Ovis aries: one gene and its partners. The protein of the gene in region 1 interacts with the protein of each later gene in a biochemical or structural test. Links are inferred from orthologs where the notes say so. Each region holds a gene or a part of one and is shown in the gene's direction. Other genes may lie near its edges.

Evidence for each region.
Region 2: the proteins of PPARG (region 1) and NR0B2 form a complex in vitro, tested with the Homo sapiens proteins (2 studies listed by BioGRID, with this or other methods). The link is inferred for Ovis aries from reciprocal best matches to the Homo sapiens genes PPARG and NR0B2.
Region 3: the proteins of PPARG (region 1) and GRIP1 form a complex in vitro, tested with the Homo sapiens proteins (2 studies listed by BioGRID). The link is inferred for Ovis aries from reciprocal best matches to the Homo sapiens genes PPARG and GRIP1.
Region 4: the proteins of PPARG (region 1) and NCOA6 interact in a test that uses a peptide from one of them, tested with the Homo sapiens proteins (2 studies listed by BioGRID). The link is inferred for Ovis aries from reciprocal best matches to the Homo sapiens genes PPARG and NCOA6.
Region 5: the proteins of PPARG (region 1) and RELA form a complex in vitro, tested with the Homo sapiens proteins (3 studies listed by BioGRID, with this or other methods). The link is inferred for Ovis aries from reciprocal best matches to the Homo sapiens genes PPARG and RELA.
Region 6: of the proteins of PPARG (region 1) and CDK5, one has a biochemical effect on the other in vitro, tested with the Homo sapiens proteins (3 studies listed by BioGRID, with this or other methods). The link is inferred for Ovis aries from reciprocal best matches to the Homo sapiens genes PPARG and CDK5.
Region 7: the proteins of PPARG (region 1) and KAT5 form a complex in vitro, tested with the Homo sapiens proteins (2 studies listed by BioGRID, with this or other methods). The link is inferred for Ovis aries from reciprocal best matches to the Homo sapiens genes PPARG and KAT5.

The regions. Positions count from the first base shown.
Region 1 is NC_056072.1:56,659,704-56,663,203, reverse strand, and holds part of PPARG (peroxisome proliferator-activated receptor gamma), read left to right. Parts: intron 1-3,335; coding exon 3,336-3,500. UniProt on the Homo sapiens protein: Nuclear receptor that binds peroxisome proliferators such as hypolipidemic drugs and fatty acids.
Region 2 is NC_056055.1:240,027,629-240,031,605, forward strand, and holds NR0B2 (nuclear receptor subfamily 0 group B member 2), read left to right. Parts: upstream 1-1,352; 5' UTR 1,353-1,389; coding exon 1,390-1,930; intron 1,931-2,888; coding exon 2,889-3,130; 3' UTR 3,131-3,477; downstream 3,478-3,977. UniProt on the Homo sapiens protein: Transcriptional regulator that acts as a negative regulator of receptor-dependent signaling pathways. Specifically inhibits transactivation of the nuclear receptor with which it interacts.
Region 3 is NC_056056.1:153,580,561-153,584,060, forward strand, and holds part of GRIP1 (glutamate receptor-interacting protein 1), read left to right. Parts: intron 1-336; coding exon 337-476; intron 477-644; coding exon 645-836; intron 837-3,500. UniProt on the Homo sapiens protein: May play a role as a localized scaffold for the assembly of a multiprotein signaling complex and as mediator of the trafficking of its binding partners at specific subcellular location in neurons.
Region 4 is NC_056066.1:64,076,406-64,079,905, reverse strand, and holds part of NCOA6 (nuclear receptor coactivator 6), read left to right. Parts: intron 1-1,007; coding exon 1,008-2,124; intron 2,125-3,500. UniProt on the Homo sapiens protein: Nuclear receptor coactivator that directly binds nuclear receptors and stimulates the transcriptional activities in a hormone-dependent fashion. Coactivates expression in an agonist- and AF2-dependent manner.
Region 5 is NC_056074.1:40,279,507-40,283,775, reverse strand, and holds the start of RELA (transcription factor p65), read left to right. Parts: upstream 1-1,469; 5' UTR 1,470-1,553; coding exon 1,554-1,560; intron 1,561-2,141; coding exon 2,142-2,168; intron 2,169-2,268; coding exon 2,269-2,420; intron 2,421-2,563; coding exon 2,564-2,712; intron 2,713-3,604; coding exon 3,605-3,696; intron 3,697-4,064; coding exon 4,065-4,196; intron 4,197-4,269. UniProt on the Homo sapiens protein: NF-kappa-B is a pleiotropic transcription factor present in almost all cell types and is the endpoint of a series of signal transduction events that are initiated by a vast array of stimuli related to many biological processes such as inflammation, immunity, differentiation, cell growth, tumorigenesis and apoptosis.
Region 6 is NC_056057.1:115,249,377-115,253,612, reverse strand, and holds the start of CDK5 (cyclin-dependent kinase 5), read left to right. Parts: upstream 1-1,436; coding exon 1,437-1,473; intron 1,474-2,127; coding exon 2,128-2,216; intron 2,217-2,305; coding exon 2,306-2,373; intron 2,374-2,488; coding exon 2,489-2,549; intron 2,550-2,647; coding exon 2,648-2,704; intron 2,705-3,703; coding exon 3,704-3,799; intron 3,800-3,937; coding exon 3,938-4,012; intron 4,013-4,159; coding exon 4,160-4,236. UniProt on the Homo sapiens protein: Proline-directed serine/threonine-protein kinase essential for neuronal cell cycle arrest and differentiation and may be involved in apoptotic cell death in neuronal diseases by triggering abortive cell cycle re-entry. Interacts with D1 and D3-type G1 cyclins.
Region 7 is NC_056074.1:40,317,854-40,322,149, forward strand, and holds the start of KAT5 (histone acetyltransferase KAT5), read left to right. Parts: upstream 1-1,496; 5' UTR 1,497-1,512; coding exon 1,513-1,690; intron 1,691-2,017; coding exon 2,018-2,086; intron 2,087-2,172; coding exon 2,173-2,309; intron 2,310-2,596; coding exon 2,597-2,752; intron 2,753-2,841; coding exon 2,842-2,916; intron 2,917-3,016; coding exon 3,017-3,091; intron 3,092-3,424; coding exon 3,425-3,673; intron 3,674-3,754; coding exon 3,755-3,844; intron 3,845-4,296. UniProt on the Homo sapiens protein: Catalytic subunit of the NuA4 histone acetyltransferase complex, a multiprotein complex involved in transcriptional activation of select genes principally by acetylation of nucleosomal histones H2A and H4.

The DNA.
Region 1 (3,500 bases):
TAGATGTAGTTAAGCATTCTTTCCTGTTAAGGAGAGATGCTTATCTAGCCATTTGATACAGTGTCTGAAGATAAATACATTGTTAGCCCCAAATTAGAAGTGTAAAACCATTAACACCAAATCTAAAGAGGATATGGTTCCTCTGACAATGGCAGATCACGCGATGATACCGGGGAGGCTAGTGGAAAAGAGAGGACCGTGCAAGTGAAGGACGTTTTGTGTGGGACGTTTTACCAGAAATATAATATTAAGTCACTGATTCAAGATAAACTCCACAGGCCGAATTCCCCTCGTGGTTTTCAGAGTTCAGCCATCTGTAAACCTGGCGGGCCACTCTCTTCTGCTGTTTCTGTATGAGGAATCCCAATGTAAAGTGTGTGGGTTGGGACTTCCCTGCTGGTCCAGTGGCTAAGACTGTGCAGTCCCCGCGCAGGGGGCCTGGGTTCAATCCCTGGTCAGGGAACGAGATCCTGCATGCCACAACTAAGACCCAGTGCAGCCAAATAAATTAATTCATTAATTTTTTTTAAAATGTGTGCGTTAACTGTTTGCAGTCTAGTAATTGGTGAATGGGTGGCAAAGAAAGGCAGATCTCCAGGCAGATCACATCTGGATCACTCCTGCAGCTTGATAGATCCACACGGGAGCTGAAAGGATCTTATGCAGATTTCAAAAGTGCAAAAAAAATAAAAAACAACAACAAAAAAAAACAGCAACATCAGCTATGACGAGGAAAAACAAAGAAACCCACCTGGGATTCATTTGCATGTCCATACCCAGAATCCTCTGCCAACTCAACATTTTGAAAATGCTGAAGGGATCTTTTTTTAAAAAAAAGAAAAAAACTGGAATGGTTTGGCATGATGGTGGGGGCTGCTGATTCCTTTCTCTGTCCTTGAGTGTTTACTGCCAGGAAATCCTGACCAACGTCGATTGCCAAGGGGTTACCAAGTCACATTGTTGTTAAATTGGGAGAGAAAATTTGCAGGATTTTGTGCGTTCGGTGCAACTATCACAGAGTTTCAAAAACAGGAACCTGGGGCTTTATATGAGGGGACAGGGGAAGTCGAGGGGGAAGAGTCACAGGATGATTTATCAGGGCAGAGTTCCAGAGAAATTGCTTACATGGAGGTGGGAGAATGTTATGCATCCATTCTGTGCCAAGAAGCTGAGGGACTGAGGTCATCCAGAAGCTGGGCAGATGAGGTACTGTCCTTCCACACGTGAAGAGGGGATGACTTTATATCCTTGTTATTTGTGTTTGTACAGGTGCAGGTGGACTCTTCAGGTGCCCTCAGATTTCTCATAGCAGTAAAGAAAGCCAGCCTCTTGGTAGCATAAATTAAAATGGGCCACAAAACTCTTTGAGATCAGAAACCACCTTCTTCTAGGTTCTGTTAAAGCTAGTGTTTGTCAGCATCAGAATCTGGCATTCTGGAAAAACTCAACACATGTTAACTGAAGAGACTGTCCATCTACTCTGTCCTTTTTTTTTTTTTTTTTTCCCTCCCATTAATAATATAGGTCTGAAGTAGAGAGAAAAGCAAAATGCCTCAAAGCAGTATGAACTATTCGTTCTTGGCTTACTTGAAGCCTGAAGAGTCACCAGGCGAGCTTACTCTTGGGTTCCTCTCATCTGTCCTACTTTGTGGTTTTGTATTTGCTAAACAATACAATTGGAGTGATTTTTTTTTTTTGGTTTAAAAAAAGTAACAATTTCTGGAATAACTCCAGTGAATGTTGTTGAAATAAGAGGCAAGTTTGGGAATCCACTCAACATCTAAAACCCCTTAGAATTCGTGTTATTTCCTTCAGTGCAGAACAGACTTAATAGTTTGGTGAAGGGAATTCCCTGGTGGGCCAATGGTTAGTACTTTCATTGCTTGGGCCCAGGTTCAGTCCCTGGTCAGGGAACTAAAATCCTGCAAGACATGTGGCATGCCCCTCCCCAAAAAAGTTTGATAACAATCTTAGACTACTGTAGAGATTAATAGTTTAGACTGTCTGAACCAGTGGGTCTTGAAGCTGGCTACTGCTGGCTCTCATTGTGTCTGCTTCCTCTTGCCAAAGAGGAGAGAATTCTCATTATCTCTCAATAAAGCTTTTCAAAAGAAGCTTTATTTTTAGTACATCAGAGACTTCATATTCAGTGGACATGTGTGTGTATGTGCACACTCACACAGATACACACACACACACACACACACACACACACACACATATCACAGACACTATTTCCAAGAAATGCAACTAGCATATCCTTAAGAGAAGAGTTGGAAATCTTTGCAATCCACTTCAAATGAGAAATTCGAGGGCTAGGAAAGATAAATGACTTTTCTAAAGTCACAGAGTTAACCACAGGACCAAAGCTGGAAGCCAGATACCCTCAACTCTTATTCCTTGCTTCTGAGTAAAACACATGACTAGCATTGAGGGGTAGCTCCTTACAGAGTTCAGTAGGTATATACGTGTGTGTGTGTATATATAATTGTGGTCACTTATTCAGAGTAGCCTTGAGAATTTCACAAGGACCACAAACCTCTGGTTAAATCTATACAAGGAAATGAAAGAGAAAGATTATTTCGTGGACAAACCCAGCAGGCTTTTGCTAGTAGCCTATTGCAAACCTGAATAACTGATAAACGAGTTTTATTGATTCTTGACCCTTAAGGACATATACTTTGAAAAATAAGTTCCAACCTTTTTTTAATTTGCCACTTTTGTAGTGTTTGCCCATAGGCCTTATGCAGCTGCTCTTTCTGAAACAGATTGCTTCCAGAGCATTAAAAAAAAAAAAGAGGAAAGAGAGAAACAGACATTTTCTTGACTCAGTGTTTTCAGTCTGCTTTCAGACTGATTTTTCTGTAGTTAAGTATAGTTTACATATACATTATGTTTCATTTAAGCTCTGAGAGGATTTAATCTAAAACTGCAAGATTACTTTATGTCCAAGTGGGTCTATTCAACCCTAAGTTGCTAAAATAATTGTTTTTATTGAAAGAAGGTTAAAAATGTATCCCATTGAAAGCTAGAATGAAACAGTAGATTTTTGCATCATTGTTTAAATCAACAACAAAGACCTTCCAAACAACAGGAATTGGAGCTACTAGCGAGTCACCGGTTGTGGTATCATATCACCAGTGTTGGTGAAATATGTTTGGTTCCAGAAGACAGCTTGGAGGATTAATCAAGACATGAGTATTTTCTCATTGTTCAGTGTTTTCAACTTGAAAGATTTTCGTTAGCAAAGCAAGTGTCTGTGAAGAAGCTGGGATGGTATTGACCGTGAATGAGAAATTTCCAACTCAGCCACTTTCTCCCATTTTTCTTTGCAGCCGTTTGTTATCTATGACATGAACTCCTTAATGATGGGAGAAGATAAAATCAAGTTCAAGCACATCAGCCCCCTGCAGGAGCCCAGCAAAGAGGTGGCCATCCGCATCTTCCAGGGGTGTCAGTTTCGCTCCGTGGAAGCCGTGCAGGAGATCACCGAGTACGCC
Region 2 (3,977 bases), on another chromosome or scaffold:
GGGGGGAGCAAAGTCCTCCTCCAGTATGCCAGAAACTGCTTGGAATTTGACACCACTTTGTCCTCACAGCATAGCCCTGCAGGCAGGCACTATTCTGAGTGAAGCTCTGAGGCCCGCAGAGATTTGGGGTTCAGCCCACAGTCACACAACTAGGAAGACAGAGAGCCAGGAGAGGATGTCAGGGGTGGCGACAGTTGCCCAACAGTGTGTCAGCAGAAGGCTTGCCAAGCTGGCCTTGCCAAGGTCCACAAACCTGACATAGCCAAGGACCTTGCCACCAGCATTCACTGCCCAGGCCCCAGCATCCGAGACAGCTGCCTGGGGACAGAGGAGCCATGCAGCTGGCGGCCGAGCAACGTTTCTGTCCAGATCGTAAGTGGGCAACGTCTACAACAGTGAGGTGGGGGCCCAGGTCGTCACCAGCTCTGGCTGCACAACTGGGCCAGTGGGTCCAGGGGTACAAGCAAGGATTTTGGAGTCAGACTGATCTAGGCTCTGTCTCTTTTTAGTGATGTGAACTTGGACAAGTCACTTGACTTCTTTGAGTCTCAAAAAGCAAGCATTTTGCCTCAGAAGGAAGCTCTGAATATTAGAGTGGAAAGTGCCTGGCGCATAGTAGGTGCTCAATAAACAGTAGTATTTCATCATCATTCTGCCAGGGCTTCTCAGCAGACAAGGGCCCTTCAAGAGGTCCAGGCTGGGGAGAGAGAGTTCTTAAGGACCTTATTTTTGCAGGCCTCTCCGCCACCCAGAACTTGGGGTTAGAGGAAGGGGGCCTTCCTCCAGACTGCACAGCCAGGCAAAGTCCTCCCAGCACCCCCAGGATCCTGGCTCCCTTCCCTGCAGCCTGTTCCTTACTAACAACAGGAGCAGGGCCTCAAGGTTAGGCAAACAAGCAAGTGATAAGGCGCTTCCAGGTTGGGCCCTGCGTTCAAGGCTCGTCGGCTCTGGGGCTGGCTCCCCTGCTGAGCGCGAGTCCTGCAGGCACCAATGGGGACACCTGCCACGGCCACCTGCTGATTGTGCACCTGAGGCCTTGGTGCCCTGGTACAGCCTGGGTTAATGACCCTGTTTATCCACTTGAATCATCTGATAAAGGGCAGCGGGGCCAGCGGGCAGGCGGCCCTGTGCCCTGCACCCGCTGCTTCATTGACTGAAGTGATATCGGGGCCACGTGGAGCTCCCAAGTCTCCCTCCCCCACCACTTCCCCCTGGGTCCTGCCAGGGTCAGTGTGAGTTTCTTTTTTTTTTTTTCAATGAACATGACTTTTGGAGTCAAGGTTGTTGGGCGGTTCCCCCCTCCCTCCCCCATTTGGGGATATAAATAGCACCCACAGCACCAAGCCGAGGGTGGGAGAGCCAGCAGGAAGGCAAAGCAGATCCTCGACCATGAGCTCCAGCCAGCCAGGGTCCTGCCCGTGCCAGGGTGCTGCAGGCCGCCCGACCATTCTGTATACACTTCTGAGCCCCAGCGTCAGGGACTGGCCCTCCGTGGCCCCAGCCCGCGGCCGCTGCCTGTGCAGGCAGCACCGGCCTGTTCAGCTGTGTACGCCCCATCGCACCTGCCAGGAGGCCTTGGATGTTCTGGCCAAGACGCTGGCCTTCCTCAGGAACCTGCCGTCTTTCTGCCAGCTGCCCTCCCAGGATCGGCGGCAGCTGCTGCGGGGCTGCTGGGGGCCCCTCTTCCTGCTGGGGTTGGCCCAAGACACTGTGACCTTCCAGGTGGCCGAGGTCCCGATGCCTAGCATACTCAAGAAGATCCTGCTGGAGAAGCCCAGCAGCGGGGCAGGCAGCAGCCAGCGGCCCGATCGGCCCCAGCCCTCGCTAGCTGAGGTGCAGTGGCTACAGTGCTGCCTGGAGTCCTTCTGGAGTCTGGAGCTGGGCCCCAAGGAGTATGCCTACCTGAAAGGGACTGTCCTCTTCAACCCTGGTGAGATCCCAGACACTCCTGGATGAGGGCCAAGGCTGGAGGGGGGCAGGGCTCAGCCAGGGAAAGACGCATTCTAAGGACTTAACAACTGAAATCCCTCTGGGTCCTGATTATCTCCAAATAGCCATCTTGCAAAACAAGCTCAGAGAGGCAAAGCGACTTGCGAAAAGTCACATAGCCAGGTGGGGGAAGAGAAAGAATGGGGACTCAGGTCTACTGATGTCAAAATCTAGTCCTTACTGCTCTGCTAAGAAATTTCCCTGACCCTTAGGGCAGAAGGGGAGGGGAGGGTGGGCAGACTATGCCTCGGTCACGCCTTCATGAGCAGACTGCATGGAGAAGTTCTGAAGATGAAACTGCGGTTTCAGAAAGACCACGTAGAGAAGAGAAATGAAAATGGGGGTGGGGAGGGGGAAGAGGGAGGAGTCTTCGTAAATTTCAGCCAGGACAACAAATAGAGGAAGACTTCTTTGTGATCTGAAAGGCGCTTAGATGAGAAATCATCAAAATGCCCCCAAGGAATGCATGATCAGAGTAATTCATTATAGTAATAGCAAACACTCGCATTACATTTACTGTATGTTAGGTCGAGTTCTAAAGGTTTTATATACACTAGCTCATTTAAACCTCATAACAAGCCTAGGAGATGGGTACTATTATTTGTCCCAGTTTTATCAACGAGGAACCCAAGGCACAGAGATTGAGTAAATTTCCCCAAGGGCACACAGCTAATAAGTGACAGTGTGGGATTAAAAGCCAGGCCCCCCAGGGTCTTACCCATGGCTCTATCCTGCGTCTCCATGAAGGATGGATAAATGAAGTGAAAAATAAATAAATGAAGGAGGTAGTGATGGGGACTCAAAGGCGCCAAGCTGGTGGCCTTGGGTCTTGGGCCAGTCTTGCCCTGTGGTATTGGAGTAGGCCACTCAGCAGCCATCTTTGCCTTCTCTGTCCGCAGAAGTGCCAGGTCTCTACGCCTCCTCCCACATCGGGCACCTGCAGCAGGAGGCGCACCAGGCACTGTGGGAGGTCCTGGAGCCCTGGTGCCCAGCAGGCCAAAGCCGCCTGGCGCGTGTCCTCCTCATGGCCTCCACCCTCAAGTCCATTCCACCCAGCCTGCTTGGAGATCTCTTCCTTCGCCCCGTCATTGGAGACGTTGACATCGCGGACCTCCTTGAAGACATGCTTCTGCTGAGCTGACCTGCTCCAGCCCAAGCAGGGCCTGGGTGGAGGCTGGCAGCGCTGATTTGGCCGGGCTGTCCCCTGGGTGACCCAGTGCTCCCAGAGGCTTCCCCAGAGCAGCTGGCTCCAGCCCAATCAGGTGGGCCCTCACTCAGCCACATCCCACCTTGACCCTCCTCAGTTTGGACACAGTGCTCCAGCTGTCTGGCCAGCCCTTGGTGGTTCCAGAGCCTCTGGGCCAAGACTCCTCTCCCCTCCTGGGGCAGGGTAGAAGTGTCCGCTGTTGGGCCAGGAGTTCTACTGACTTTGTACGGAACTGACTTAAGTTATTGGCTTTTGTAATAAAAGGTGTGACACCCTTGGAACCTGACAGTGTAGTTTGTACACGTGGAAGGGACTGGTTCATCTCCAGAGTCCCCCGGCCCGCCAGAGGAGCCCAAGAGGAAGGAGCTACAAGTGACACACAAGCCAGAACTCAGGAAACTGGAGTTTTGATTTTTCAGGGTGGGATGCTGATTTCATTTCTGGCAGTGAGATTTATTTTACATGGATCTGATCCAGGAGTTAGTATCAGTTCAGGACCCCACACATCCTTGCCCTTATATCAAGGGGTAGGAGTATCCCTCCCTGTTCCTCAAATCCCCTGCTGATCCCTCCCTCTGCTTCTGCCCCAGCCTCCCTCTCACCTCACTGAGAGTCACCAATAAGGAAAATGAAGCAGCCCATTTCCAAATTGAAAGTTTCCGGGAATCTCTGTCGTGTGGGATCATTCACTTCCCCTGTGGCATCACCGACCCAATGGACATGAGTTTGAATAAACTCCAGGAGTTGGTGATGGACAGGAGACCTGGCGTGCTGCAGGCCA
Region 3 (3,500 bases), on another chromosome or scaffold:
ATGTTAAACATCACTATGTTGACTGACCAATATTGTTTGTTTCCTTGGGATTTTGCAGAGTGTTATCAGCTAACTCTACTTTCTTGGAATTTAAAAACACACAAGTCTTTTTTAAAAACTAATTAAAACATTTTTTTTAACTGTATTTGAAACTGAAAAGTAATTCACAACAGAAGCAGTCATCTTATAACATTGCCCAGGAGACAGCAAGGAGTGGCATCGAGAGACCCTTGCCAAGTCTTTACTGTTGTGGATATATGAAGCATGTCAGGGAATTTGCATTCAGTAGCATTCAGGGATTATTTCTGCCTTTCCTATTGTTATTTGGTGTTTCAGAACTGGTGCGATCCACATAGGAGACCGGATCCTAGCCATCAACAGCAGCAGCTTAAAGGGGAAGCCTCTGAGTGAAGCCATCCATTTGTTACAGATGGCGGGAGAGACTGTCACCTTGAAAATTAAGAAGCAGACAGATGGTGAGTGGATCAAGAGCCACAATTAAGGATTTCCAGTGCATTTCCTTCCCTAAAAGAATGTGCAAATATCTACGTGTGTATTTCTGGGGAAATGACTCTTCAGCCAGGGGGTGTTGGCATATCTTTGTATTTATATTTACTCTGATACTTAAGCTCTTTTCCTTAAAGCCCAATCAGCATCAAGTCCCAAGAAATTCCCTGTTGCCAGCCACTTGAGTGACCTGGGAGATGTGGAGGACCCATCTCCAGCACAGAAGCCAAGCAAACTCAGTGACACATACCCCTCCACTGTGCCCAGCGTGGACAGTGCCGTGGATTCATGGGATGGCTCTGGAATAGAAAGCAGCTATGGGAATCAAGGTATGTCCTAGCCATGGGGAACCGGAGATTTATCATTGGTGAAGCTCATGTTTCTCAAAGATCCACCTTTTGCTCTAAGAAAAGAATATTCTACTTGTGTCTACATGAATGCAAACATAGCAAACACATTGAATATCGTGGCCTTGAATTTCCTCCTCTTTAATGCTAAACAGTTATGATCATCTATTCAACGCTAGGAGACCCCCGTTAGATCTACTGCTGTCCAAGTGTTCGATCCAGGGCTTGTTCTTCAAGCATAGATTAATATGAGGCAAACCACACGATATGTTGGGTCAGTGAAGACCAGCTGCATTTTCTTACTTTTTCAGCAACCTCTGCACAAAGATGGAATAGAGAATGCTGGAGGCATGCAAGGAGATGAGCCAAAGATTTGTGACCCCATTTATTCCTGCCTCTTCCTGACTTTTCATAGCAACTTGTAGGGGTTTCCTCCAGTACTCATCCTTAGAGTTTTCTATACTGTTAATCCTAGTATGAAAAGTGAAAGTTGCTCAGTCGTGTTCAACTCTTTGCAACCCCATGGACTATACAGTCCATGGGATTCTCCAGGCCAGAATACTGGAGTGGGTAGCCATTCCCTTCTCAAGGGGAATCTTCCCAACGCAGGGAATGAACCCAGGTCTCCTGCATTGCAGGCAGATTCTTTGCCAGCTGAGCCACGAGGGAAGCCCTAATCATAGTATGCAAACATATATAGTAGTTTTTCTTCACAAACCTCATCTTCATGTGATGAAGTGTAACCTGTATGAAAATTTAAACCTCAGAACAGATTCTGAGTACCAAAAAGCGTTAGAAGACAGAATATAAACACTTACCTAATTTATTTTTTTAATATTTATGTATTTATTTGGCTGTGCCGGGTCTTAGTTATGGCACACGGGATCTGTAGTTGCGACATGTGGGATCTAGTTATCTCACCAAGGGTTGAACCCTTGCTACTTCCGTTGGGAGTGCAGAGCCTTAGCCTCTGGACCACCAGGGAAGTCCATAAAGGCTTCTTTTAAAAATATGTTTCCTTCTCAATGATACTTAGCATCCAAAGAGAAGTGAATCAAAAACTCTCTGTATTCTCATCTAAGCTTTGTGTGTGTGTTGCGCTAATCATTCAGGTCTGTCCGACTCTTTGCGACCTTACCGTCTCTCTAATGCTCTGTATAAATTCCAGCCTCCTTTTCTGCTCAAATAGATAAATGGTTTGGAGAACACATGTGTGGATGAGGGAGTTGCTTTGTACATTAGGTAACTACTTTTGAGGAGAATCTGTATCCAGTTTGCTGTCTTCCTGATTCTAGTTTTTTCCTCTCAGCCCACTTCTGCTTATGTCACTTTCTGTTAAATCCTTTGAAGGGTGGAGAAGACAGAAAAGAAATGATATTTCAAAGTTTTCAAGTCATTACTTGTTAGAGATGACATTGGAGTTGGGTGGAAAAAATAAGACCCAAAAGAGGATTGGGGCTTTCATTTATCTGGCAAGTAACTTTTCCAAGTCCAAATACCTTGTGAAAAGTTAGCTATGCCATCAAATAACAGATTATTACTCCCGGTGAGTTCATGAGATCCCAGAGAGCACTCTGGATAAAGGACCCAACTCAAATTCTGTCAGTGTAGACTGAAGTTTATTTATTAATGTGTTTGTTTATTGTTTATTTACTAATGTGGAAACTTTTTGTTGCACAGATTTCAGTGAGCTATTGATTATAAGGAGCTCTGCCCCTAAGTGATGTGTGAGAACTTAGCTACTCTATCCTTACACACAATAAGATCAGGCCCAGGTTTAGCATGTGGAATGTAAGGCTTGTCCCTCATTTATAAAAGATGAAGAACCATTTATTATTTAGGAGAGATTTTGAAAATTTGAAATCCTAGATGGGGAATAGTAGTCATCACAATAAGAAATTTGGCATTTATAAGTTAAAAATCATTACAGGTTTGAAGCGAGAGAACAGAGATATAGAGAAAATGGCAATTAGAACTGACATCTTACAAGATGAAGAAAAATTAATAATAATGCTTTAGAGTTTATAAAGCACTTTTACGTCACTCATTTCAAGTGATTCTCGTAAGGAACATGGAAGCTGAAACCACAGGATTTCGATGTTGGGAGCGAATTTGAAGTCAGCTGGTCTGACACCCGGGGCAGCCCTTGATGGTCTATGCAGCCTGGCTGCCCGCCGTCACACGGCATGGCCTGCAGGGCCTGCAGTGACAGCTTGCTCCCTAACTGCTAAGGCAGCTCTCCCAGCTCCCTGTACCAAGAGCTGACGGCTTGCGTTCTCACTTGTATTGAGCTGAAATGTGTCAGCATGTAGCTTCGGCCTATTAGTTCCAGTTCTGCCCTCAAGGTCATTCTGAACTAAAGCCTTCTCCACTTGACAGCCCCTCAGCTGCTCAAAGACAGCCCTCGTGCCTCTTTTGAACTTCTCCTTCTCGGAGCAAAATAGCCCCGGTTCCTTTCACTGTTCCTCACGTGACTTACTTTTGAACATCTTTATCATCCTGGGAGCCTCTCTTCTGACGATGTTCAAGTTTAACTCTGTACAAGTGTAGTGCTCAGAAAGGAAAGTCATACTACGGTCTGGCAGTCCAGAGCCACTCAAGTAACTCAAGCCTGTCAGCTTCATCCCTGGAGACTGTAGAGCCCAT
Region 4 (3,500 bases), on another chromosome or scaffold:
GAACAAAGGACAGTTTGTCTCTCACCTCCTGGCTGGAACATGGACTGGCTTGATGATTTCATTGTGGCTATCACTTTTTAGTCCTCATTTCAAAATGAAAAGGGTGGGGAGGAGATAAAATAAGCTAGAAGTTTATTCTGCAGAAAGGAAGAGAGAATATAAGCAGCTATAGGAAAACCCCAAAGACCTAACAGTAAGTATACACTGTGGCAAACCAGGAAGTGCTCTTTGTCTGAACTGGAAACAATTAAGACTAAAACATGTCCCATGTGGTCTCCTAGGGATTGCTGCAGGAGAGGGTCACTGAAGCTTTATCATCCTTTATTGTCTGTCCTCTGTCTGCAGCTTCTTAATTGTCTGTCAGTTGACTTCCACCAGAGGCTCAGCTTCCAGATCAAGATTAAATAATTTTTACCACATTGGGGTGGAGGAGACCTATCTTTAGGAAGTATTAGCTGTTCTTTTCTTTAAAGTGCAGTATCCAGATAACACATCCATAACCTTGGAGAGTCTGAATATAGTTTCCCAAGGAGCATTGTTAAACATCTTCTCAACTTTGCTGAGGTTTTCTTAAGAGGCTGCAGCACATTTTTTGTTTCCTGTCTCATCTAAAGTAGAGCTTATTTCATTATCCCATAACACTTTTCATTAATTTTCTTCATTTTAAGGTAGTTACAAGTTATTTTTAAATAATGAGATGCTACCTTTCTCTTTGTTTAGTCTAAGAGAAAGAAAACTATATTGATCTTCAAAATGTTATCAAGTTACCAAATAGGAATAAAGAAATGGTTTCTTTTTCTCTATTGTATGGTCACTGAGAATGTATGCCACAGTCACAGCCTTATACTATAGAAAACTCACAGAAATATGTTAAGCATAACACATCTGTTTATGCTAATCACTGGATATGGGTGAGGGGTGTTTTTCTAATTAAGGTAATTTGAGAATCTTAATACCAAGAAGATAATAGTATTTCTTTCTGAAACTGTGCCTTTTTTTTTTTTCAGGTGGTCAAGGAGCTGGTCCTCCTCAAAACCAGATGCAGGTGTCCCACGGGCCACCAAATATGATGCAGCCCAGCCTCATGGGAATTCATGGCAACATGAACAACCAACAGGCTGGTAGTTCTGGGGTTCCTCAAGTGAACCTGGGCAACATGCAAGGCCAGCCCCAGCAGGGCCCACCATCTCAACTGATGAGCATGCACCAGCAGATCGTGCCCTCCCAGGGCCAGATGGTCCAGCAACAAGGAACCTTGAACCCTCAGAACCCCATGATCCTTTCAAGGGCCCAGCTTATGCCACAGGGTCAGATGATGGTGAATCCTCAGAGCCAAAATCTTGGGCCCTCACCCCAAAGGATGACCCCACCCAAGCAGATGCTTCCCCAGCAGGGCCCCCAAATGATGGCACCACATAACCAGATGATGGGGCCTCAGGGGCAAGTTTTGCTCCAACAGAATCCAATGATAGAGCAGATCATGACCAATCAGATGCAGGGGAATAAGCAACAGTTTAACACTCAGAACCAGTCTAATGTCATGCCGGGACCAGCACAGATAATGAGGGGACCAACGCCAAACTTGCAAGGAAACATGGTGCAGTTTACAGGACCTATGTCAGGACAGATGCTGCCACAGCAAGGGCCCGTGAACAGCAGTCCGTCTCAGGTTATGGGGATGCAGGGGCAGGTCTTGCGGCCACCAGGGCCCAGCCCCCACATGGCCCAGCAGCATGGTGATCCTGCTACGACAGCAAATAATGATGTCAGCTTGTCTCAGATGATGCCAGATGTTAGCATGCAGCAAAGCAACATGGTCCCCCCCCACGTGCAGGCCATGCAGGGGAACAGTGCCTCGGGAAACCACTTCTCAGGCCATGGGATGCCCTTCAATGCACCTTTCAATGGAGCACCCAATGGAAATCAGATGTCCTGTGGTCAGAATCCAGGCTTCCCGGTCAATAAGGATGTCACGCTGACGAGCCCATTGTTGGTCAACTTGTTGCAGAGTGATATCTCTGCGGGCCATTTCGGGGTAAACAATAAGCAAAACAATAGCAACGCAAATAAACCGAAGAAGAAGAAGCCCCCTCGGAAGAAGAAGAATAGTCAGCAGGATCTAAAGTAGGTTGTGATAGTCTTGTCTGAAATCTTACTCATTTATTTCTATGTGAACACCTTTTTTGATGGAAATTTTTGAGCATGTATAAGAACAGTATAATGAAATTCCCCATGCTTCAGATTTTCAGCTCATCATCTATCTTGCATTCATTCATGTTCTTCCCATTACCTCTTGATTATTTTAAAGCAAGTTCACTTTAAGTATTTCACTGTGTACCTTGAAAAAATAAGGACAGGTTTTTGGTTTTTGTTTTCTGTTTTTTGTGACCATACAATACGATTAGCACACCTGGAAAAAACTAATGCTTCCTTCATATTCTCACATATTCAGACAGCGTCCAGATTTCCCTGATTATCTCAAAATAATTTTTTTTTTTTACAATTTGTTCAAATAAGGGGCCAAACAAGGTTCATATATTGCAGTCAAATGATATATGTCTCCTAAGTCTGTACAGTCTCAGAGGGGATTGTGCCATTCAGAGCCTGAGAATTAGCCATTGCTACCACACTACAACTCTACAAAGCATGTCAGGCTTATAATGACTGCTGGGGAACCAGAGAGGCTATATGTGTTTTAGGAATGAAAACTACTTACGGAGACTCCCTTCTGTCTCTCAAATAGAAATGTTTTTTTTTTGTGCAAGTGCCTTTCTTTTAAAGGCTCTTTATCATCCTTAGCAGCTTAAAACCTCATACTAAGATGACTAGACCTTTTCAATCAGTTACCCTTTTGGTAAAGATGAGTCTTTTGCAAGATCACAGTGGGAAGGGCAATTAATTTATATTTCGTTTCCTAAAGCTAAGTGTTAAGTCATATTTTTGGCTTTGATAAAAAAGGAATATTGACTAAACTGGATTTTCTGCCTTTAATCACAAAAGTGAAATCCAGAGACATTTATTACCAGAAAATAATGACTAAGAAGTATAAAAGCGGGTTAATTCAAGTAAATTACTAGAATTACAGAAGAGAATAGGGGAGCTTTAGTTAATTAAACATAAATGTTTAAAATAAAACCATCTATTGGATTGGCCAAAAAGTTTGTTTGTGTTTTTCCATAACACCTGGAAAAAAACTGGATGAACTTTTTGGCCAACCCACTACCTTTCTCTCAGTCTTCTTACAGTATGCCTTTGGTGGTACTATAAAACTATATCATATTCACTTTCTTCTTGAATCTTATAAATCAAAAAATAATTTATATTAGCAACCTGTATTTTTCGTGAATTCAAAATTAGTAAACTCTTTGGTTATCTGATTTTTCCAGTAGCTCTTTCTAAGTTAAATTCTTTACTACTATCAATCTGTATGGGAATAATATTTCTTTGGCAATATTTATTCCTCTCAGTAATCTAGGATTAACACTGCAAGGTTCTTCAGT
Region 5 (4,269 bases), on another chromosome or scaffold:
TGGGTAGATATAAGTTCTGATGGCTTTTCCATCCAGCCTCTTGAGTTTTGCAGTGGGTGCACTGGAACTCGTATTAATCTGAAAGGTATACATATCTAAATTTTAAAAGAAGGACCATGCTAGCATCAATGATGATTGTGTGTCGTTAATCAAAGATTATAATTAATCCACTCTGTCTTCCTGAAGACTGCCTCCTCAGAAAAAGTAAGGTGCCGTTTCTAATCCGGGGCAGCCACAGGAGAAACCGAAATGAGTGGGAGGGGTGGTAACTGTTTTCACTTTTCTCTTCCTGTTTTTTTTGAGCCTGGGAAAGCAAGTCAGAATTTCCAATCTTTTCCAATTCCCACACGATTCCCTAATTTAGAACGAACTTAGAGAAAATAAAAACCCTTCCTGCATCTGGGGAAGACTGCCGCCAGCCGTGGAGCATCCTCACTGTGGGATGAAAAATCCTCTCAGGGGCGGTGTGTGCTCCAGCCCGACCCCCAACCCGTTCGTACTTGCTTGTACGGGGTTAAACCTTGGGGGACGATACCCTCGGCGAGGAGTCACAGGACGGTTTATTAGTGGAAATTCTTTGGGAAACTTGGACCCCAGCAGGAAGCCATGGGAGGCAGGCGTGGGGAGGAGGGGCGGGTAAGGGAGTTCAAACGGAACAGAGGTGTCAGGTTGCAGAGACAAGCTCCAGAGATTTACCCCCGGGTGACTACCCCTCTCCACCCACTGGCCCCGAGGGTCGGCAGTGTGGAAGATCTTAAACCGACGAGCCTGCGGGTACTGCGCGAGCGGAAGCGGAGCGGAGCCTCTGATCACGCTGACGTGCAGCAGGCTCCGCGAAGGCCACGGTCCGAGTAGTGCCAGGTGGAGAGGTCCAGGCCACTTCTCTTTTTCCTCGTTGCATCCAGACTGGGGTGGACAGGAAATTAAAAAGTGCTTGTGCGGCAATAACCATCAAGAAGCACTCTTATTGACTAGGAAACCGTGAAGAGTTGAGCCACCTGGCCTTGGCGGGCGAAGCAGGCCGGAGCCTTTCCTGCGCGGGGCGGGCGGTCGAAGCCCGGCAGCCCTAGCTTGGCTCCAGACCGGCTCGGGGTGACATCACCAAACTCCTCCGATAGGCGGGAGGTGGCCCCCGAAATCCCCTAAAAACATAGTGAGTAATCGGAGGCCCCGCCCTCCAGGCGGGGCCCAGACTCGGGAGCGAGCCGAGCTGCCCCGCCAGCCCCGGGAGCGGCCTCCGGGAGAGCCGCCTGTCGGTGCCCCGCGCGGCGCGCACTAGCTCCGGGTCGCCGGCACAAGCAGCCTATCCACCCTGCACGCGGCCTGCCCATCCTCCGCGCAGCGCGCGTTCGCCCCTGAACCTCTCCCGGTGGCGGCGGCACCCGCAGCAGCGACGAGGGCGACGGAGACGCATCGCGCAGGCGCGGTCGGATTCCCGGCAGTGACGCGACGGCGGGCGCGCGCGGCGCATTTCCGCCTCTGGCGAATGGCTCGACAGTAGCGCGCGCCGCGGGCCCAGCTGCGACCCCGGCCCCGCCCCCGGGACCCCGGCCATGGACGGTGAGGGCGCCCCCTGACCCCGCGGGGTGGCGGCGCTGGGGCCGCGGGGATCGCGGCGGGAGGCCCCTCACCGCCTTCCGACCCTTCGTTCGCTGTTGGGCGCTGCGCAGGGAGCGGCCGGCCGGATGGTGGCGCGGGGCGGGGCGGGCATCGAGGGTTCTGACTCAGTTTCCCCCTGGGTGTGGGGTGTTGGGGGAAGCGTTAACTCAGTATCCCCCCGGGACCCGGGAGTGGGGCTTGGGCAGTTCCACCTTAGTTTCCTTGTTAGGGGAGAATGTATCTGACTCAGTTTCCTCTCGGGATGGGGGAGTGCCCTCCCTTAGTGTAACTTAAAACAGAAAAGGCCGTGACTCAGTTTCCCCTGGTGGAGGGAGGCGGCCATCTCTGGTTTCCCTCAGGAAAACGGTGCTTCTGGCTTCCTTACGCACACCCCAAGTTTCCCTGAAGGTTCCAGGTAGCAGGTCTGACTGAGTGTCCCCGAGAAGGAGCCTGGCTCCCTCTCCTCACCTCCGGGAAGCAGGCCTTCCCTGATGAGGACAGGATGTGGGCTCCTGCTGACCCTTGTCTCCCTCTCCTTTCAGACTTCTTCCCCATCATCTTCTCCGAAGGTAAGTGGCCCATCCTTTCTCAGTGGGTCGGGAGGAGCTCCCCAGGGTCAGGGGCGATGGGGTCAGTGGCTGATGGGCCTGGCCCGCGTGTCCCCTGCAGAGCCTGTGCAGGCCTCTGGCCCCTATGTGGAGATCATTGAGCAGCCCAAGCAGCGGGGCATGCGCTTCCGCTACAAGTGCGAGGGCCGCTCAGCCGGCAGCATCCCTGGCGAGAGGAGCACAGACACCACCAAGACCCACCCCACTATCAAGGTCAGCAGAGCCCCAGGGCGGGGGACCCAGAGTCAGTAGGGCTGGGACTTGCTTTCAGCCCCCACCCCCCCATCCCGAAATCTGTGTCTGGGAGTTGGGTCTGGAATTCCAGCCCTCTAGGGTGCTCTCTGTACTTTGGACAGATCAATGGCTACACGGGGCCAGGGACAGTCCGCATCTCCCTGGTCACCAAGGACCCTCCTCACCGGCCTCACCCTCACGAGCTAGTGGGGAAAGACTGCCGGGATGGCTTCTATGAGGCTGAGCTCTGCCCGGACCGCTGCATCCACAGGTGAGCTCCTTAGGGGTGGCAGGGGGTGGAAGAAGGTGGTGATGAGATGGGAATCGGAAAAGCAGGCAAGTTATATTGCTGTTACAATGTTAATCGTTTCTGGACAGAGGGCAGAATTCCTCACTGCTTGCTCCCTCTCCAGCTTTGCAAGCTGATTCTTTTGTTTTGAAATTGTCTGTGTGTCTCCTCTCTCCAGTGGATAGGAGGAGCACCCTGTGAGTTCTATGGCAAAGGTGTGGGTCCCTAATCACCCCTGAACCCCTAACCCCTGGGGCTGGAGTGTCACATCTCTTGTAGTCAGAATGAAAGCCATTGAACCAACGGTCTCCCCTGAAGCTTATGTACTGGTTGACAGAGGCAGACCATAAATAAATGTACAAATAACTGAACAAGATACTGTTAGAAATCACCATTTCAGTGATGAAAATGAAGCAGTAATAGGTTGGAAGAATAGCCTGAGGTGGCAGGGAGTGAAGGAGCTGGTCCCACTCCTTTGGGCTGGGACGTCAGAAAGGCTTCTCGAAAGTAAGACCTAAATGTGAGAAAGTAGAGAAGCAGGGAAGGAACATGCCCAGCAGAATGAACAGGTGCAAAAGGCTTTGAAATACGAATGAGTGTCATGTCTTTGGAGAGGGTAAAAGAAAGCCCTGGGGCAGAGGGTAGGGAGCTGGCAGGGACTGTGGCTGGGGCCAGGCGGCAGGGCACAGGGCCTTGTCAGCCAAAGTAAGGAGTCGCTTTCAGTGTGGCACAGTTGGGTGGGGTGGCATTTAAGGGGGTTAAGAATAGAATGATTACCTGGTGAGTGGGGGAGGGGATAAGGGGCAGAGTGGGTAAGGCAGGAGGGCCCAGGCTCTGCTGGAGACAGTGGAGCTTATGCCTCGGGGGGCCTCAGCTTTCAGAACCTGGGGATCCAGTGTGTAAAGAAGCGGGACTTGGAGCAGGCCATCAGCCAGCGCATCCAGACCAACAACAACCCCTTCCAAGGTGAGGGCGGCCACGGTGGAGGCTTGGGCCTGCCTGGAGCACCTCCAGCTGCTGTACCCTTCTGAGGCCACCTTCCCGTCACGTGTCCCTCACCGGCCAAGATGCGGTGCCCATTCATTACATACACCTGTTCAGTACATTCTACCATTGGAGAAACAGACTGAGAGCAGGGGTGTAGGGGACAGGACATTCAGGGTCACAGGTGGAGTCAGTGATGGGTCTAGAACATTCCCACCACCCTCTTCTAGGACTCCTGCTATTTCACACACCTTCCAACAGCCCTCCCAGCCCAGAGCTACCCGCACACCCTGCTCCGCCCCAGCCCCACCCCCAGCCCAGGCTCTCCTGACCATCGGTTTTTCTGACAGTTCCCATAGAAGAGCAGCGTGGGGACTACGACCTGAATGCCGTGCGGCTCTGCTTCCAGGTGACAGTGCGGGACCCGGCAGGCAGGCCCCTCCGCCTGGCGCCTGTCCTCTCTCATCCCATCTTTGACAACCGTGAGTGGTCAGGGAGCCGCATGAAGGGGAGGGGGGTGGGCCTGTGAGGAGGAAAGGAGAGGTGGGGAGGGGT
Region 6 (4,236 bases), on another chromosome or scaffold:
CCCTATCTTTGCCAGGAGGACGGGGGTGGGGTCGAAGAGCGGTGATGGCGGCGCGGGGTGGATACCCATTACTCTGTGCCGAGTTTAAGTCTTTCCAAACCGGGGGACTTCTGCCTCGGAGAGATTCCCTGCCGTGCCCTCCCTTCTCGAACCCTATTCATAGTCATCACCTGTCATTTAAAGATCTATTTCTTGTTTTCTCAAATGATAAAGTCTTCCAGATAAGCGAATCTGTTTCGCTTCTGAGAGTCTGCCACCGAGGGAAGGACAGCATTGTGTACGCAGAAAACGTTCAGACATAAACGAGTTAATTAACAAACTGTTTAAGCCCCAACGTCGGTTCCGGCGGCGCCGAGGAGTGCTGTTTGAGGGCAGTTTTCATCCAGTTCACAGCCCTCAAGAATGCAATCATGAGACAATTAGAGAGAAGCCACAAGATAAATCTATAATCAACTCCTTAAGGGATGAGGTCAAGGCCGCTTCAAGTGTAGCTTCTGTCTGTCCTGTCTGTTGAGGGCGGTAACCAACCTGCCAGCTCTCGGGCCACACCCTTGGCCAACTCCAGTGGGCCGGGGCTATGTAAGGTGGGGTGGGAGAGGGTGGGTACACTTCCCCAGTGCGCCAGCTTGTCTCGGAATATCAGGGTGGAGCGAACTGCTGGAGTCGGGTGGGTTCCGAGACCACAAAAGGGGAGAGAGAGGTCTCTGGCGTATGGTGAATCCAACCTCCAGTGGGGCACACCTGTCTCTCTTTCCAGCCTTGCGGGCAGCTGGCCCCTGTGAAGTCATCATCGGCAAGATATGGCTCAGAGCCATCCCCCAGGCAATCCTGAGCTCACCGGACGGCCCAGGGAGAGGTTCGAACCGGTTATGGGAGTGTCAGGAGGTCTTGGAAGCTCAACACCATCAACCCAGGCAGAGCCAGGGCCACCTGGGCTCGGGAGGCAGGCTGCCAAAGCCCAGACTCTGGAAAGCGCCCCTCCACCACACCCCACCACCGCCCCCACCCCTGCTGCATTCTGGAACATGTAGTCCCGGAGAGACTCTTTTCCGAAAGAAGCGAGTAATCACTGAAAGGGATACCCGAGCGGGGCATCCTGGGAGCCGCGCGCGACTGTGGGGAGCCGGGAAAGCGGACACGCAGAGCTTCCTGGAACTTGAAGTCCAAGGGTGGCCTCCGCGGTGGAACCGGAGTCCCCGGGAGGCAGGAGCTGCAGCGAGCCCGAGCGCAGCCTGCTGGGGATTGTAGTCTTCTTGTTGCCTACGGCCCCTGGCGCTACTTGGACACCTGGCGTCCTAGGACTACAAGCCCCAGAAGCCCATGCGCAGGCGGGAGGGCGGGGCAGGGCCCGGAGGCTGGGGTACCGCCTCCTCTGCAACGCCGGGCCCGGAGTCTCAGAACCCAGGGCCCGCAAGGGTCCTCGCGCGGCTGCCGGGATGCAGAAATACGAGAAACTGGAGAAGATTGGGGAAGGTAATGGGACCGCGAGATGCTCCTGCAAAATCTTCTTCTGCAGACCCTTCAGCATTCCTTGCAGCCCTGGCTCCTCTACCGTCAGCAATACCCACAGATTCCGACCTCAGCACTGGCTGCAGCCCTGGCCCCCGAGCTCAACACTCCGTGCAGACAGCAGTCCTCCCCCTGCTAGCGTTTCTCATGGACGCCTGCCTCCCCACCTTAGCACTCCCAGTGACCCACCTCCCGACCTCCACACGTCCTGCATTTCCTCTCCATCCTCAGCACCTCTTGCACAACCTCACCCACCCCCAGCCTCAGTTCTCTCTGCAGACCTCCAACCTCTGCGTTCCTGCCGGCCCTTATTCCTCTCCCAGACCCCTGCTCCTTAGTTTCAGACCCCAGAAGCTCGGCCTTTGTGATAGACCTCCTCACCTGGCCCCTGCAGCCTCTGCCTGTTGGAGACACCCTTGAGCCATCTGCAGGCACCTCTTTGCCACATCACCACACACAGAGCTCTCTGCCGTGCCCAACCTTTACCCCACATCTCTTCCCTTGCTCCTCCAGTATCAGCAATAACACACTCCCATGCTGCTTGCTGTCCCGGCAGGGGCTTCCTGAGTTGGGAAAGTGTGCCCCATCCTTTCCCTACGCCTCCCCTCCTTCTTCTAGGCACCTACGGAACAGTGTTCAAGGCCAAAAACCGGGAGACTCATGAGATTGTGGCTCTGAAACGGGTGAGGCTGGATGACGATGACGAGGTAAGACTTGGGCGCCAGGGCCAGGGAGGGGCTGGGGGCCTGGGCCGGGTGGGATATGACTGTGGCCACCTGGCCCCTCCAACGTGTAGGGCGTGCCGAGTTCTGCCCTTCGGGAGATCTGCCTACTCAAGGAGCTGAAGCACAAGAACATCGTCAGGTGTGTGGGTGGGCTGGGTCAGAGGAGGTGGGGGCTTCAGAGATGTGCTGGGCTGATATTGGGCTCTTAGGTGCGGGCTGTGGCCCTGCCTGCCCAAGCCCTCGCTTCTCCCCAGGCTCCATGACGTCCTGCACAGCGACAAGAAGCTGACTTTGGTTTTTGAGTTCTGCGACCAGGTGAAAGGGGGGCTGGAGGGCCAGTAGTCTTGGGAGGATACAGGGACCCCAGCTGAGGTTCATCTCTGTCCCATCCCCCACCCCCATTCCTTTTTCAGGACCTTAAGAAGTATTTCGACAGCTGCAATGGTGACCTAGATCCTGAAATTGTGAAGGTAAGGAAACCGGTTTCCTGGGAGCTCGTTGAGGCTGGAGTTGGACTCTGTATTCAGTGAACATGTTCCCAGGCCCCACATGGAGACACTCAGGGAACGAGGGGAGGAGAAAACCCTGTTTCTGCTTCTAGGAGCCTCCGTCTTAGTGATCATTTTCATGCGACCGCTTTAACCTGAAAGGAAGTCTGATGTCAGTGATAGGATTTGAGAGGTGGGAAAATGAGGTTCCAAGAGAGATTCATTAATCCCACAGATTCTTATTGAATGCTGTGTGCCAGGCACTGTTCTAGGCCCGAGTGCCCTTCCAAGTTTCCAAGGAAAATAAGTGCTTGATGACTGTTGTTCAGCTGCTCAGTCCTGTCTGACTCTCTGCAACCCCATCAACTGCAGCACACCAGGCTTCCCCGTCCTTCACTATCTCCTGGAGTTTACTCAAACTCATTCCATTGAGTCAGTGATGCCATCCAACCCTCTCATCCTCTGTCATCCCCTTCTCCTCCTGCCCTCCATCTTTCCCAGCATCAGGGTCTTTTCCAATGAGTTGGCTCTTTGCATCAGGTGGCCAGAGTATTGGAACTTCAGCCTCAGTCCTTCCAGTGACTATTCAGGGTTGATTTCCTTTAGGATGGACTGGTTTGATCTCCTTGCTGTCCAAGGGACTCTTAAGAATGATAAACAATAACACAGCACAGTATACACATGGATGGTTATGATGTCCATGTTCAGTTGAGGCCAGGTAGGGGACAGACAGCAGTGTGGGATGGGAAGGCAGGAAGCCCCACCAAGCTGCCAGTTCCAGAAAGATGGGGACCAGGGCTCCCCCATTCGGCGTTCATTTCGAGTACCCAGCAGAGTACAAAGAAGGTCCTCAGTAGTGAAGGGGTGAGTTGCCCTGAGCTTGGTGCTGAAAGATGGCTGGGGTTTCAGGGCCCGTGATTCCCTGCAGGGTGCACGTCCCATCCAGAGGGTCTGATGACCTCCTCCCTGCCCCGCCCCCAGTCATTCCTCTTCCAGCTGCTGAAAGGCCTGGGCTTCTGTCACAGCCGAAATGTGCTGCACAGGGACCTGAAGCCTCAGAACCTGCTCATCAACAGGGTACCTCTGGGGAGGGGGCAGGGCGTCTGGGAGGCCGGGGCAGGGTGAGGGAAGCCAGGCAGGAAGGTGGGAGCAGGGGGCCTTCCCTCAGACTGTGAAGAGCCCCTCTCCATGCCTGTCTCCCCCCTCGATCCCCAGAACGGGGAGCTGAAACTGGCTGATTTTGGTTTGGCTCGCGCCTTTGGGATCCCCGTTCGCTGTTACTCAGCTGAGGTGAGCTGTGGGGGTGAGGGTGGGATGTGGGAAGCGAGGGAGGGGGTCCCCAACGAGCATCGCTCAGCTCCTCCTCCAGGACTCCTGTCTGGGCACTCTCCTCCATCTCTAACTGGGGGTTCCTGTGGGCGGGGTCTTCTTCTCCAGGTGGTCACGCTGTGGTACCGCCCACCCGATGTCCTCTTTGGGGCCAAGCTGTACTCCACGTCCATCGACATGTGGTC
Region 7 (4,296 bases), on another chromosome or scaffold:
AGGCTCCTCTGTCCATGGATTTCTCCAGGCAAGAATGCTGGAGTGGGTTGCCATTTCCTCCTGCAAGGGATCTTCCCCACCCAGGGACTGAGCCTGTGTCTTCTGCATTGCAGCCAGATTCTTTCCACTTAGCTACCAGGGACACCCTGTTTGATAGCACAATAGAAGGTAAAGCATGGGTTGGCAAACATTTTTTGTAAATGGCCAGACAGTAAATGTTTTAGGCTTTGTGGGCATTCAGCTTTAACGTGGAAGATGTCATAGACAAAATGTCAGTGAATGAGATGGTGGCTATGTTTCAATAAAACATAATTTATGGACCCTGAAATTTGAATTTCAGAATTTCCATGTATCATGAAATATTCTATTTATGTCTCCCCAAGCTTTAAAAAGAGTGTGAAGACCATTCTTTGCCCACTGAGCAGGAAAGCTAGAATAGGGTTGGATTTGCCCTGCAGGCTAGTTTGCCTACCTGGTCATTCCCTGCACCTTGTGTATTTCGTTGTTGCTGTTTCCCAAAACACTTATCACTCTTTAATAGACTAGATAATTTATTTTTAAAATATATTTACTGTTTGTGATCCACACCCCTCTTTTCCCTCTCAGCCTCCAAGAATTCAAGCTCCAGGAGCTGCAAGTTATTTTATTCATTGATGTATCCCAGGCTCCTAGATAAAATGCCTGGGACACGGTAACAGATTATTAAACAGTTGTTGAATGTATTAATCAATTCTAAAAGAAATCATCTCTGACTATTCATGGGAAGGACTGACGGTGAACATGAAAACCCCGATACTTTGGCCACCTGATGCGAAGAAAAGACACTGATGCTGGGAAAGTCTGAGGGCAAGAAAAGGGGAGGGCAGAGGATGAAATGGTTGGAGAGCATCACTGACTCAATGGACATGAGTTTACGCAAACTCCGGGAGATAGGGAAAGACAGAGGAGCCTGGCAGTTCACGGGAGTCACAAACAGTCGACACGACTTAGACGTCTGAACAATAACAACTCGTATAATTAGCAACCTAACATACAAAACAAACCTATAAACCTTCTTCCGTGGACCCCCAACCCTAGGAAAGTCCACAACTTGCGGGGGTCCTGGTGCCCACTTTTCGAAATCCGCCCCTCAACCCCCCAGCCGAGCACACGCAGCTCACTCCCCGTGACGCAGCCTTGACGCCACTAGGAGACGGCCAAGCGGCCGCCCGCTAGGCACAAACACCAATCCCACGTGACCGGCGTCGCACCCGGTGAGCGTCACGTGACTGACTCAGTTTTCCTCCAATCGTTGCACACGTTGTGGGGATTCCATCCAGGACCTGACCTGAGCCTTAAAACACCCTATGCCCCTGCCAGCCAAACTGGCCGGCTCCGTCAGCAAGCTGGGCGGCGGTGTCTCTTAAGAACCTACTAGTAAAGCCGCTTCGGGGAAGACGGGGCCTACAACGTGCTCAGTCCCGGAAGTGACGGCTCCCAGAGGGGCCGGAAGTGGCAGTGGAGGGAGGGAAGATGGCGGAGGTGGTGAGTCCGGTGCCCGGGGCGGGGCGGAGGGAGCCAGGGGAGGTGGGTAGAGCCCGAGGCCCCCCAGTAGCCGACCCTGGCGCCGCGCTGTCTCCCCAGGGGGAGATAATCGAGGGCTGCCGCCTGCCTGTGCTGCGGCGGAACCAGGACAACGAAGATGAGTGGCGTGAGTGACGTCGGGGGGCGGGGCTAAGGAACCTGAGGGCGAGGGGCGGGGGGAGAGTCAACCGAACCCCGGGGAGGGGGTGGGGCCTCTAGAATCCTGGAGCGGGCGGGGCGCAGATACTCAGGAGGGGCGTGGCTTTTAGCCTTTAGAGCTGGTCAGGGCAGGGCTTGAAGAGGGGATGGCACTTGGTGACTAACCGGGGCTTTTGAGAGCGGTTCCAAGTGCTGGGGCTTTAGGGTTCGGGCCTGGTGGTGGAGTTCAGATCGTAGGAGGGTGGAGCTTCATGGCCTGGCCAGTCTAAGGCCCTTGCCTTTGCTGTTCCCACAGCACTCGCTGAGATTCTGAGCGTGAAGGACATCAGTGGCCGGAAGCTTTTCTACGTCCATTACATTGATTGTGAGTTCTGGGCCGGGATGAGGTGGGGCTGGAGGGTTGGGGGGCAGCCTCTGGCACTCCTTCCTGAGCCATACCCACTGCTGCAGTCAACAAACGCCTGGATGAATGGGTGACCCACGAGCGGCTGGACCTGAAGAAGATCCAGTTCCCCAAGAAAGAGGCCAAGACCCCCACTAAGAACGGACTTCCTGGGTCCCGACCCGGCTCTCCAGAGAGAGAGGTGGTGAGTAGGTCCCCTGCTTCACCTCTTCTCTCCTGCCTACTTTTAAAATCTCTTGGCCTCAGTGGCTCCCAGATGGGCGACAGGCTGTGCCCTCCCACCCTGGCTTCAGCTTGTAAAGGATGGGGCCCAGACTGCAGATGTAGCTTCCAGAGTCCAGTGACTGTACCTGTGTCCTTGAGAGGGCAGAGGGTGGGGTTTGATCACTCCATGCCGAGGGGACCCTACTCCCCTTCCCCATCCCACCACCATCCCAGCCCCAGAGGAAGACCCTGGACCTATCTCTACAGCCGGCCTCCGCCCAGGCCAGCGGGAAGACTTTGCCAATCCCGGTTCAGATCACACTCCGCTTCAACCTGCCCAAGGAGCGGGAGGCCATTCCCGGTGGCGAGCCCGACCAGCCGCTCTCCTCCAGCTCCTGCCTGCAGCCCAACCACCGCTCAACGGTACCCTCAGCAATTCCAGGGACCTTGCTTTCCTCTCAGGTCCCACCTTCTCTACCTTCTGACCCACCTGTCCTGGTTTCTCTCTGCAGAAACGGAAGGTGGAGGTGGTTTCACCAGCAACTCCAGTGCCCAGCGAGACAGCCCCGGCCTCAGTTTTCCCCCAGGTGAGTCCCCCAAGCCATCTCTTCTGCCCTCCTACCCTCTGATAGCCCCTTTGGGCTCACCTCACAGCCACTCTTTCTGTCCCTCCACTATCATTTGCAGAATGGATCAGCCCGGAGGGCAGTGGCAGCTCAGCCCGGGCGGAAGCGGAAATCAAATTGTTTGGGCACTGATGAGGTAGGTCTGGGGAGGAGGGAAGGGTGAAACGAAGGGGACATAAGGAGGGCACGGGGTTTAGTGACTACTTTAAAAATGAACAAGGGGTACTGGGCAGAAAGGGTGTTGGAATTAGGGGTGAGGCGGAACTGATTCAGATCCTGCACTAGGTGATCTTTATCACCTTCCAGGTGAAAATCATCCAAGTCTTGGTTTCTTCAGTTGGCAAGTGGGGATTGCAGTACCTCCCCTAGGAGGGTTGCTGTTAGGAAACCTGTGGAAGGGCTGTGAGCTGTGGAGTGTGCTGCTTGCGTTGTCTTCTGTAACCTGGTATCTTTCACGGGCCCTGGGAAGGACTCCCAGGACAGCTCAGATGGAATCCCGTCCGCTCCTCGCATGACTGGGAGCCTGGTATCTGACCGGAGCCACGACGACATCGTCACCCGGATGAAGAACATCGAGTGCATCGAGCTGGGCCGGCACCGCCTCAAGCCCTGGTACTTCTCCCCGTACCCTCAGGAGCTCACCGCGCTGCCCGTCCTCTACCTCTGCGAGTTCTGCCTCAAGTATGGCCGAAGCCTCAAGTGTCTGCAGCGTCACTTGGTATGGGGAGTCCCAGGGGCCACCCTCCTAGCAGCACCCCCTCACCTCCGCCCCTGTGCCTGATCCTCCTCTCTTCCTCAGACCAAGTGTGACCTGCGACATCCTCCTGGCAATGAGATCTACCGCAAGGGCACCATCTCCTTCTTTGAGATCGACGGACGTAAGAACAAGGTCAGGGGCTGAAGGGCAGCGGGAAGGCTTTGGTGCCGGGAGTCTGGGGGAGTTGAGTGAGTAGCTTCTTCCAGCTCCGGAAGACACTGACAGTTACAGGGGACAGATCTCTTCACCGCATTTACTGCATTCTTGCTGTAGGCCGGGTGCTGGTAGATAAAAGTGACCAGGAATTTGACAAAATCTCTGTTCTCTGAGAGCTCACAGGGGAAGACAAACAGGCCAGTAGCAGTTTGGATCCCAGTGTGATATGTTTCATGAGAAAAGTGGGCTGTCAGGATCCCAGGGTGATCAGCAAGGCTTCAAAGAGGAGGTAACCTCTGAACCTTGACACAAGGGTAGGGTGGGTACAGGAATCCCCAGCAGCGGGTTCTGAAGGGCAGGAGTGGACGTACTGGCAGAGCCCAGAGATCCTGCAGGTTCAGTTCTAGACCACTGTGACAAGGTGAGCG